2 linked regions of the Drosophila melanogaster genome follow. The protein of the gene in region 1 purifies or fractionates together with the protein of each later gene. This does not show direct contact. Each region holds a gene or a part of one and is shown on either strand. Other genes may lie near its edges.

Region 1 (3,683 bases):
GTGCTACTTCTTCTAGGCCCCCAGATGCATCCCGTAGCTAGTAGTTGATCCCTGTACATAATCTCGAAGAACACCCCAGTATTACTGTATATAATCCCCCACCAACACCAACACAAACACCAAAACCTAACCCGTAATCCGTGCCTGTCCGTGTGCTGCATGTTTTTAGATCCATGTTATATGTTGTTGGCGCTTTGGCGCCACCTGTTCGAATCCGAAATATAATATCCAATATGTGTAAATATCCCCCCATTCAGAGAGCGGCATTGTCTCGGACATGTGCGTTACCCCGGATCAGGAACAATCGGCGGCGGAGAGCAGCCGAAGCAGTTGGTCCACATCAACGACTGGAGCATCCGGAGCTTCAACGACGAGTGCATCCACGGTAATCCTGCGGCGATATCGATCCTACGCCCACGCAGCGGAGTCCGCCAGTCCGGAAAGCGGCAAATAGAGGAGCTCCTGGAGCATCGCATCTAGATATAGTATAAATCCCCATTAATAGCTTTAGCAGAACGGTTTCATCGGATCCCATGTAGTATCATCGTATTACGTTCGATCGCTAATTTTATTTCATTATTTTTGTTATTTATTATTTATTACATTTTTAGTTTTCGTTAATTTGTCATAGTCGCTGCTTTTCGTTTTGCCTTGTTTATCGGAAAAATCAGTCGAAATTATTGAATTCAGCGTGTCAATGTCGAAGCAAGTTTCATACATATCTAGTTCTTAGTCCACACAATCGAACGATCCGCACCACACACACACAGAAATCGATGGGAGCCATGAGCAGCACCCGAAAAAGGGGCGTGGCCGATGCCCAACATATCTGAATCGAACTTCATTACGTACAGTTAGTTGATATGTAACCTAAGTGCCTATAGTTAAAATAATCGTAAACGAACATTAAAAAAATATATCTATACTTCATAATAACTCGATAAATAATTTTAAGCGAAAATTTAAATTCAATAAATGTTGCTTCAATGTAAAACTAACGTGTTGTCCTTACTTCGAATTACCCGCCAAACCGCATCTGGATTGTTCTATTTTTAACTTCCCTACAATTCCCAAGTGCTTGTTCAATGCTGTGCTTTTATAAATAGCGAAAACCTGCTAGCTTACAATCTCTAGATGATATGATGAAAACTTTACTACCCGAACCATCGTGTGGGCCTTTGCCTCTGGTAAAGGGACGTAATTCTGATTCAGTCAAAAACTGTTTTTGTTTGTTTTTTGAATACAATTTAATGGGTTGTAGTATAAAAATAAACTTTTCTCCTATAATTTAGATTCCAGAACGTTTTTTAACCACCGTGTAAAGTTGATATAAACAACACATTGTCGTTGGGCTGCAGCTCGTAGTCCAGTTCACCCTAGAAGTTGAGTTAATTATAGTTTTTAGAATTCCATATTCTGTACTCTTACTTACCAGCAATTCCCAGTCTGTATCATTTATGAGTACTAAAATTCCAGGTCGCCTGAAAACATACAATAGAAAGTATAGACTATGTATCCCTTATAGTTTAAGCCAAACTTACACAGTATCTCCTTGAAGAAAAAGTTCCGGACGCTCCGTTAAAATATTCGCATGCATCCACTTAAGCAGATTAGCAATAGTCCCTTTAAAATATATATAATTCATAACCGATTTCACTCAAGTTTAAAACATCTTTTAGAACATACATTTTTGTTTACCGTCCAAGTTCAATTCACGGCGTTTTATGTTACCAAATAGTAACTCCGCCCCTGCACTACGAAATTAAATTACAAATTGTCTCATTTATTGGAAATAATAATTCGAACAAGGCTTTATATACCTGAATTCTAATATGATTTTTAATTCCGGCGTGCCCATCATATGTTCGATGTAAATAAATGTGTGACCGCGTCTAAGCTTTTCAAAAAAATCCACCATTCAAAAATAATACCAAATATAGAATCCTAATTTCTAAAAAGTCTGGCAACCACATGCTCTAAACTTCCAAAAATTATTGCATTTTGAAAGAAATTATAATTTGTACGTAAATTTACCTTTACCATTCACCTTCGACGAGGGGACTCAGCATTATAATTATTCCCATTGAGAAACATAAACAGGTGGCATTCCAATGGAACGCTAGGTAAAGTTTTCATTAGCATATTATGATCTGTGCTCTAAGAAGACATTTTACATTTCGTTGTGAATTTATGAAATTAAAAAAAACACGTTATCATAAAGAGCGTTTTTTTTATTGCTTCTCCTCGCTCGTTTTCGACTTTTCAGGATTCGGAGTCAGATCCAGTTTGAAATCGATCGGTTTGTCGTAACCCATTATCTTAACATAGTGCTCGGGATCATCGAAAAGCGCTGGATCCACAAACAGAGGTCGTTTGTTGACCAGAAAAGAGGTGAACATGCCGGGAACCTCCGGAACGACCACATCATTTGGTCGGAAAGTAGTCTAAAAGGTAAATAATATGTACATTGAAGGCAAGCTCTTTTAAATTTGCTCTACCCACCTTGATTTTTTGCAGAAGCAGGGATATTGTGGTGGCCGTGTACTCCTCCGTTAGTGGATTGTAGTGCAGCTCCGTCACGTATTTCTTGGTAATAAAGTGCAGCAGCAGAGGAGTCACAAAGGTGAAGAATCCACCGACGGTGCAGAGGAATACGGCCATTCCAGTTCCTCCGATTTTCATTCCCTGCTCGAGAAGAATGGGCTGGGCGGCCAAGCCGGCTAAGCTGGTGCTCAGCGAAAAGAACTTGACCATTTTCATGCGTGGCGCAAGAGTTCCATAGTAGATCCGCTGCAGTGCATCGTCGGATTCAGTTTTCGTCGACTTCACCGAAAGCCACCTGTTTTGCTGGAAGTTCTGTGGTTGTGACTGCTGTGGTCTTGTCCATGAGGCACTAGTAATGCATCTGCAGTTGTGGGGCAGGGTAATCTGACGGCTGACATTTCCCAGGACAACAGCAAAGTGTTTCCCTTTTGGCAGCATCGCTCGCAGGCCTAACATGGTGTAATTTACTTATTTCAGTAGAAATAAACAGCTGTTTTTGCCGAACGTTAAATAACACGAGTTGCAGTGTGGCCCACACTTGGGCGCTAAAAGAATCCAGAAACGATACGTCTATTCAAAATATACCAACTCTCCTTTTGAATACCGAAACAGGAAACGGCAACATTGCACTGACAACGGAAATTTAAATCGATACTGACTATTTTTACTTATTGATACTAAAAACAAATATTAAAAATTTAAAATCCTAAAATTCTAACATTTCTAAGCTAAAATTAATTTACATTAAACCGACCAATATTACAATCTTATAAGATAAGATTCTCTTTAAAAAATACAAAAATAAAAATTAATAATAATTACACTTGTACTTACCAATTAGGAGCTGATTATTTAACACTTATACATCGATTAAAATTCACTTACACTCACGCTTAAAACGGTAGGAAAGGCGTTTGCAAATATTATTCAAAGTGTTGACCTACTTTAGGATATTGCTGCCAAAAAATTCGATTGTATTTCCCAATGATTTTCCAACCAATTCGGAACAATAGAGCTAGTAATTCGGCAAATATTGAGTACGTACTGCAGTTTGTAATTGATTAACAAGAAAAGTGAGTGGGGGAGCTTCCCGTTTGCGGTATTATGCCAAAACCAAAAACACACAAGGAAGAGTGGCA
Region 2 (5,223 bases), on another chromosome or scaffold:
AAGGAAAAATAACAATAGCATCACAACACACCGTGCAATTAAGCCACAAAACAACACACTCAAGCAGACACACACACACACACACACGCATTAACATTCGCATTCGAGGGGCGCTCAACGTAAATTAAGGGTTTACTGAAATCTACCACGAATCTTCTCATCACTACTATTCCTCATTTGTTATGCAACTTCATGGAAATTCCAATACTGTTTCTTTTCCCTTTGATCACTGTACAGTGGAACGTGCATAACTCGAATTATCTATATATTACATAAACACGCTGCTATTAACTTAACCATAACTGTAAACAACACATTACCAATGGGAAACGGAGCAACCTTTAAGAATCTCTCGCTGCGCGCTTTCCAATTGGAAATGCCTTAATGGCGGAAAACCGCTTCGTATCGGAGTTCCTAAGTTGTCACAAGATGTCCCCACAGAACCGCGATCATATTCTCATTCTCTAGCATAGAAAATCCGGTTCTAAACGGTACCGAAAACACGTTCATGCAGCGTTCCTCCGATTAGTGCTGTAACTTCCAAGTGGACAGGTGTTGTCGGTGATGTGGAATTTCGGATTCCCATTTAAATGTTAGCATCAACACTTTATGCAGGTCTTCAGGCGTTTCATTGTTTGGCATTGTTCATTTCGCATAAAACTATACTCGAAACGAAAATAAGTAACAAAAATGCCAAAACACTGGCGCAGAGAGAGCGTACTTGAAAAGAGAGTAGAGAGAGAGAGGAGAGCAAGCGAGACGAGCAACAAGTTGAGAAGCAATGGCCGTCGACCAATTGCCAGGGTTGCCAGACATGCCAATAGAAATGGGGAAGGAAGAGCGCTTTTGGGTGGTGTTGGTGTTTTTCAAATTTTTTTTTCATTTCTTTTTGGAGGTGCAAGGATGGGCAATCATCAACACAAGTATTGTTGGGGCACCCAGCAAGTACTCATAAGTTTTGTTGTTGCAAGGAAGGGGTGAAACAGAGAGGGAGAGAGACGGAGACAGTCGAGAGCGTAAAAGTAAAATGTGTACTAGGCACGATTAATAGTTGTAGTTGCACTTCCAAGACTCAAACACACAATTATTATTAAATATATATATATTTATATATATATATGTGCACATATATAAGTGGGGAAACAAATATAACTTTGAATGTCAAGGGGCGAGGTTAATTTGTGGGTTATATTTTCAGAGGGGGGTTTTTAATGGGTCTTATTTCGCCAATTTACCGCCAGAAGCTGCAAGAACTTGTTCAATTTGGCCCTGCTGCGATATAGGTTCGCCAACATCAAGTTCACTGCTGATAAAAGCTAGTTCTTTGCGTAAAATGCGAATTCTAACAAAAACGCTTGCACACGCACACAGAATCACAGCACAGCGCACACACACACACGCACACCCCGCTCTCGCGTTAAAATTCAGTCGTCGAGGCTACACGAATTATTTGCGCTGCAATTTCTTCGATCGCTGCGATTCGCTTCGATTTTCGCGTGCGAATTCCACAAGGCTCGCTCGCGAATTTCACACCCAATAGCTCGGCGGTCTATCGGCACCGGGGTCAAGTTCACCTTTTCGCTTAGAACGCACAACATCAACGCTCTGTGCAATTGTAAATAATAATTTATGTAAACTGTCTTATACACGCAACGTTGTCGGTGCTCAATAGAAAATAGAGTTACCAGGGCTGCAGGCGTGCGGCGGCGTTGCCTGACCCAGCCGACCCTCGATAGTTACTTTTAGGAAGATTTTACCGACTCCGTTTAAAAGCTAAAACGAGCTTTTGCTTATGCTATTTACTTATTTATATTTACTATCTTTATACCTTACTCTCCTCTACTGTCTTATTGCCAAATGCGAAAGACTTAAAGATCATTATTAATTATAATAAACCGAATGTTTACAAACTGTTATTTAATTGTTGATCTCACATTATTCTTTAATTTTGTAAAATAATAACTTCGAGTGGTTTTCGATAGCTTGTACATAATTTGTGCTAGCTGCATTAAAATATTAATAATTTTAAATAACATTTGGCAATTTACAAGAATCATATATATGTACTATATATTAATATAAGGAAATATTTTTGTAAATTATATATTAGCAAATATTGCGGCACTTGTTTTACAAACCAGGGCCGCTTGGCCTAATGACACTTGGTGGCAATACAGGTGGCAACGCCAAAGACAGATTGTTTATATCGCTCGACTTCTCGAGTTTGACTTTTAATTTTTTAATAAATTTTACGGCAATTGCTATGCAGATAACAATCAAGGTGCTGAAGGGCAAGGACTGCACCATCGAGGTAAGAATGAACCTTGCCAAAATCAAGTGAGGTCGCTAATATGGTAATATTTCACACAGGTGGCGCCGACATCGACGATTCTGGAGGTGAAACACCAGATCGAGGCGGAACTGCAGATATCGGCTACAAATCAAAAGCTACTGCTGTTGGGGCGACCGCTTAACAATGAACAGACAATTGCGTCATATCCCAACATCAAGGAGGGCACCAAACTCAATCTGGTGGTGATAAAGCCCTGTTTAAGGGACAGCATCCTGCGGGGATTCCGCAAGCACTATTCGGAGCCCCTAGCTGAGCGTATGACCAATGAGTTTATGGCCGACTTCGAGCGGAAAATCAACGAGCAGAGCCTGGACGACCTGGAGAGACTGGCGGACAGCATAGTCAACAGAGCGGCCACATAGCGCCATTGAAGACCCAATACCAACCACCACCACCCCCTCCAAAAATATGATGGAAGTCTATCCTTACAGCATAATATTTTTATTTCCCCCCTTTAAAAAAACAAACTAACTAAAAAATATGAGGTAGTAAAAATTAAGACTTGACTGAAAACACACGGCCCATATTCTTTTTTGCGACGGTCTGGCAACGCTCCACCGGCCAGTTGCAGTCTTTGGCTGTGTGCGTGCGTGCCTGTGTGTGTGAGAAGAAGAAAGAGAGGAGAAATGCGTGTGCTGTCGTGCAAATTTCTTGGCCGAGTTGTTAACTCCGCGCTGCCCCAACAAATCATTTCACTGCGATCCCTGTCCAAAACCAGTGCAGCTATGGTGAAAGTAAGTGCAGGTTGACCGGCAAACGCGGATTTCCGGCTGTGCGGCAGTCCGGATTCCATTACATAAGCCGGTGCCGAGCTGCATAAATATTGATTGCGGCGGCACCCAGAAATTACAGCGTTTCAAGGTTATCGCCTCCATCTTGCTGCCTCTTTTCTCTAAGTACGCCTGTCTGCCTCCCACTTTATTTCCAGGTAGGAGACTCCCTGCCATCGGTGGATCTGTTCGAGGACTCGCCAGCCAACAAAATCAACACCGGCGATCTCGTCAATGGCAAGAAGGTGATCATCTTCGGCGTTCCCGGCGCCTTCACTCCAGGCTGCTCAAAGGTGCGTAGGTAGCATAGTTGCAAAGTCATCTGCTTTGAGTTTCCGAATATTGTAGAAACTTCCAGCAGTATAGTGTAATTTATGCAGCTTATGTATTCCAACTGAATAATGCATTTCCCCACACCCACAGACCCACTTGCCCGGCTATGTGAGCTCCGCCGATGAGCTGAAGTCCAAGCAGGGCGTGGACGAGATTGTCTGCGTTTCGGTCAACGATCCCTTTGTGATGTCCGCCTGGGGCAAGGAGCACGGAGCCGCGGGCAAGGTGCGCCTCCTAGCTGATCCCGCCGGCGGTTTCACCAAGGCCCTGGATGTGACCATCGATCTGCCACCACTTGGCGGCGTGCGCTCAAAGCGCTACTCGCTGGTGGTGGAGAACGGCAAGGTGACCGAGCTGAATGTCGAGCCCGATGGCACCGGACTCAGCTGCTCGCTGGCCAACAACATTGGCAAGAAGTAAATGGAATCCAGTCAGCCCGAAAACACTAGAAACTCATACATGCTAATGCTAGGCCGCAATGATATCAATTACGTCTTCAAAAGAACTATGTAAAACGTACAATATATATGCGATTAGAGATGTTATGTCTAAGGGGTATGCTTTAATATCTAATTGGGGGGCTTATAGTCTTTACAGTCATTTTATCTAATAACTAGCGATTGTCCGTGTTGGGTGCAATCTTCTGTGACAACAGTTTGCCATAACCCCCGCGGCCGGCATCGTAATCCGTGCGGTATTCATCTCGCACCTGTCCGCCGGTTTTGCCGCGTCCATACTGCCTGCCCTCCACGAAGCCGGCGTCCCAGTCCACACGAATCAGACGGTCGTCCAAGCGAGTGCCATTCACAAATCTTTTGTGGGAGAAGAAAAGAGTGTTGAAGTTAGTTAAGAGATAATGATACCCCATCTGATTACTTCTACAAATGCCGGAAAAAAGGCGGCTTTTTCTAGCGTGGAGAGATGGATATGGCTCACCTCATGGCCGCCTCCGCCTCCGATCGGACATAGTACTCCACGAAGCAGAAGCCGCAGGGCGTCTTCTTATACTTGTCCAGGCCCATCACAATCACACGAACATCGCCGCAGCGGGAGAAGAGCTCGTGGATCTGCTCCTCGGTGGTGTAGAAGCTCAAGTTTCCCACGTAAAGTGTACACGAGTCGCGGAGCGATCGCTCTTGCTCGGAGCGCGAGCCCTGCAATTGGTTTATTGAGTCGGAGATCTGCTGTGGCGCCTTCGGATGTACTCACCTTGAAGTGCTGATCGCGATATGAGCTTAATTCCACAGATGCGAACATATTTTTCAGCTACAAACTATTGAAATATTTTCTCTGCTTTTATTTAGTGACGGCACTCTATTGACTGATACTTCGATAGCACTTTGAAATATGAATCGGTGAGCTAGTGCATAAAAAGTTTACTGGGTAGCAAAAATATATTATTTTAAAATTCGTTGTATACTTATATATCAATTTCTCTCATGGCCCTAACGGGAACTTATTCTTTAAGCTTAGAATAAAAATCATTGCAAATATTAACCATGTTAATATAATATAAACTAAGCTGTTACTTTAGGCGATAGTTCTGTACATTCGATACACACACTGTTTACGTTTGGGTATTTTCGGCACGCGTTAGTACATTTTCATATAACTGCTGTTTCACCCCGAAATTTTGTAGCTCGTTGTTATTGTTAATTTTATGGACTCCGCACACCGTACTTAATGAACGCCACACTCAATTCCGCGGGCGGCAAGCGTCAGCTGCGCTTTCGCGGCGACGTCACCGGCAGCCGAGTGGAGGAACTG

Evidence for each region. The genes of interacting proteins can lie anywhere in the genome.
Region 2: the proteins of Urm1 (region 1) and Prx5 purify together in Drosophila melanogaster (affinity purification with western blotting, with the first as the bait; one study listed by BioGRID). This does not show direct contact.

What each region holds. Positions count from the first base shown.
Region 1 is NT_037436.4:7,638,584-7,642,266, forward strand, and holds Urm1 (Ubiquitin-related modifier 1), read right to left. Parts: upstream 1,864-3,683; 5' UTR 1,859-1,863; coding exon 1,821-1,858; intron 1,755-1,820; coding exon 1,687-1,754; intron 1,624-1,686; coding exon 1,542-1,623; intron 1,482-1,541; coding exon 1,433-1,481; intron 1,377-1,432; coding exon 1,308-1,376; 3' UTR 1,228-1,307; downstream 1-1,227. Other genes in the region: Pura (Puratrophin-1-like), read left to right, coding at 258-454; CG7506 (uncharacterized protein), read right to left, coding at 2,232-2,444, 2,503-3,000.
Region 2 is NT_033777.3:18,164,219-18,169,441, reverse strand, and holds Prx5 (peroxiredoxin 5), read left to right. Parts: upstream 1-2,168; 5' UTR 2,169-2,263; coding exon of another isoform or gene 2,264-2,311; intron 2,312-2,370; coding exon of another isoform or gene 2,371-2,715; 5' UTR 2,716-2,979; coding exon 2,980-3,087; intron 3,088-3,281; coding exon 3,282-3,416; intron 3,417-3,546; coding exon 3,547-3,876; 3' UTR 3,877-4,000; downstream 4,001-5,223. Other genes in the region: CG7215 (uncharacterized protein), read left to right, coding at 2,264-2,311, 2,371-2,715; Cbp20 (cap binding protein 20), read right to left, coding at 4,070-4,268, 4,393-4,610, 4,666-4,713; CG7218 (uncharacterized protein), read left to right, coding at 5,140-5,223.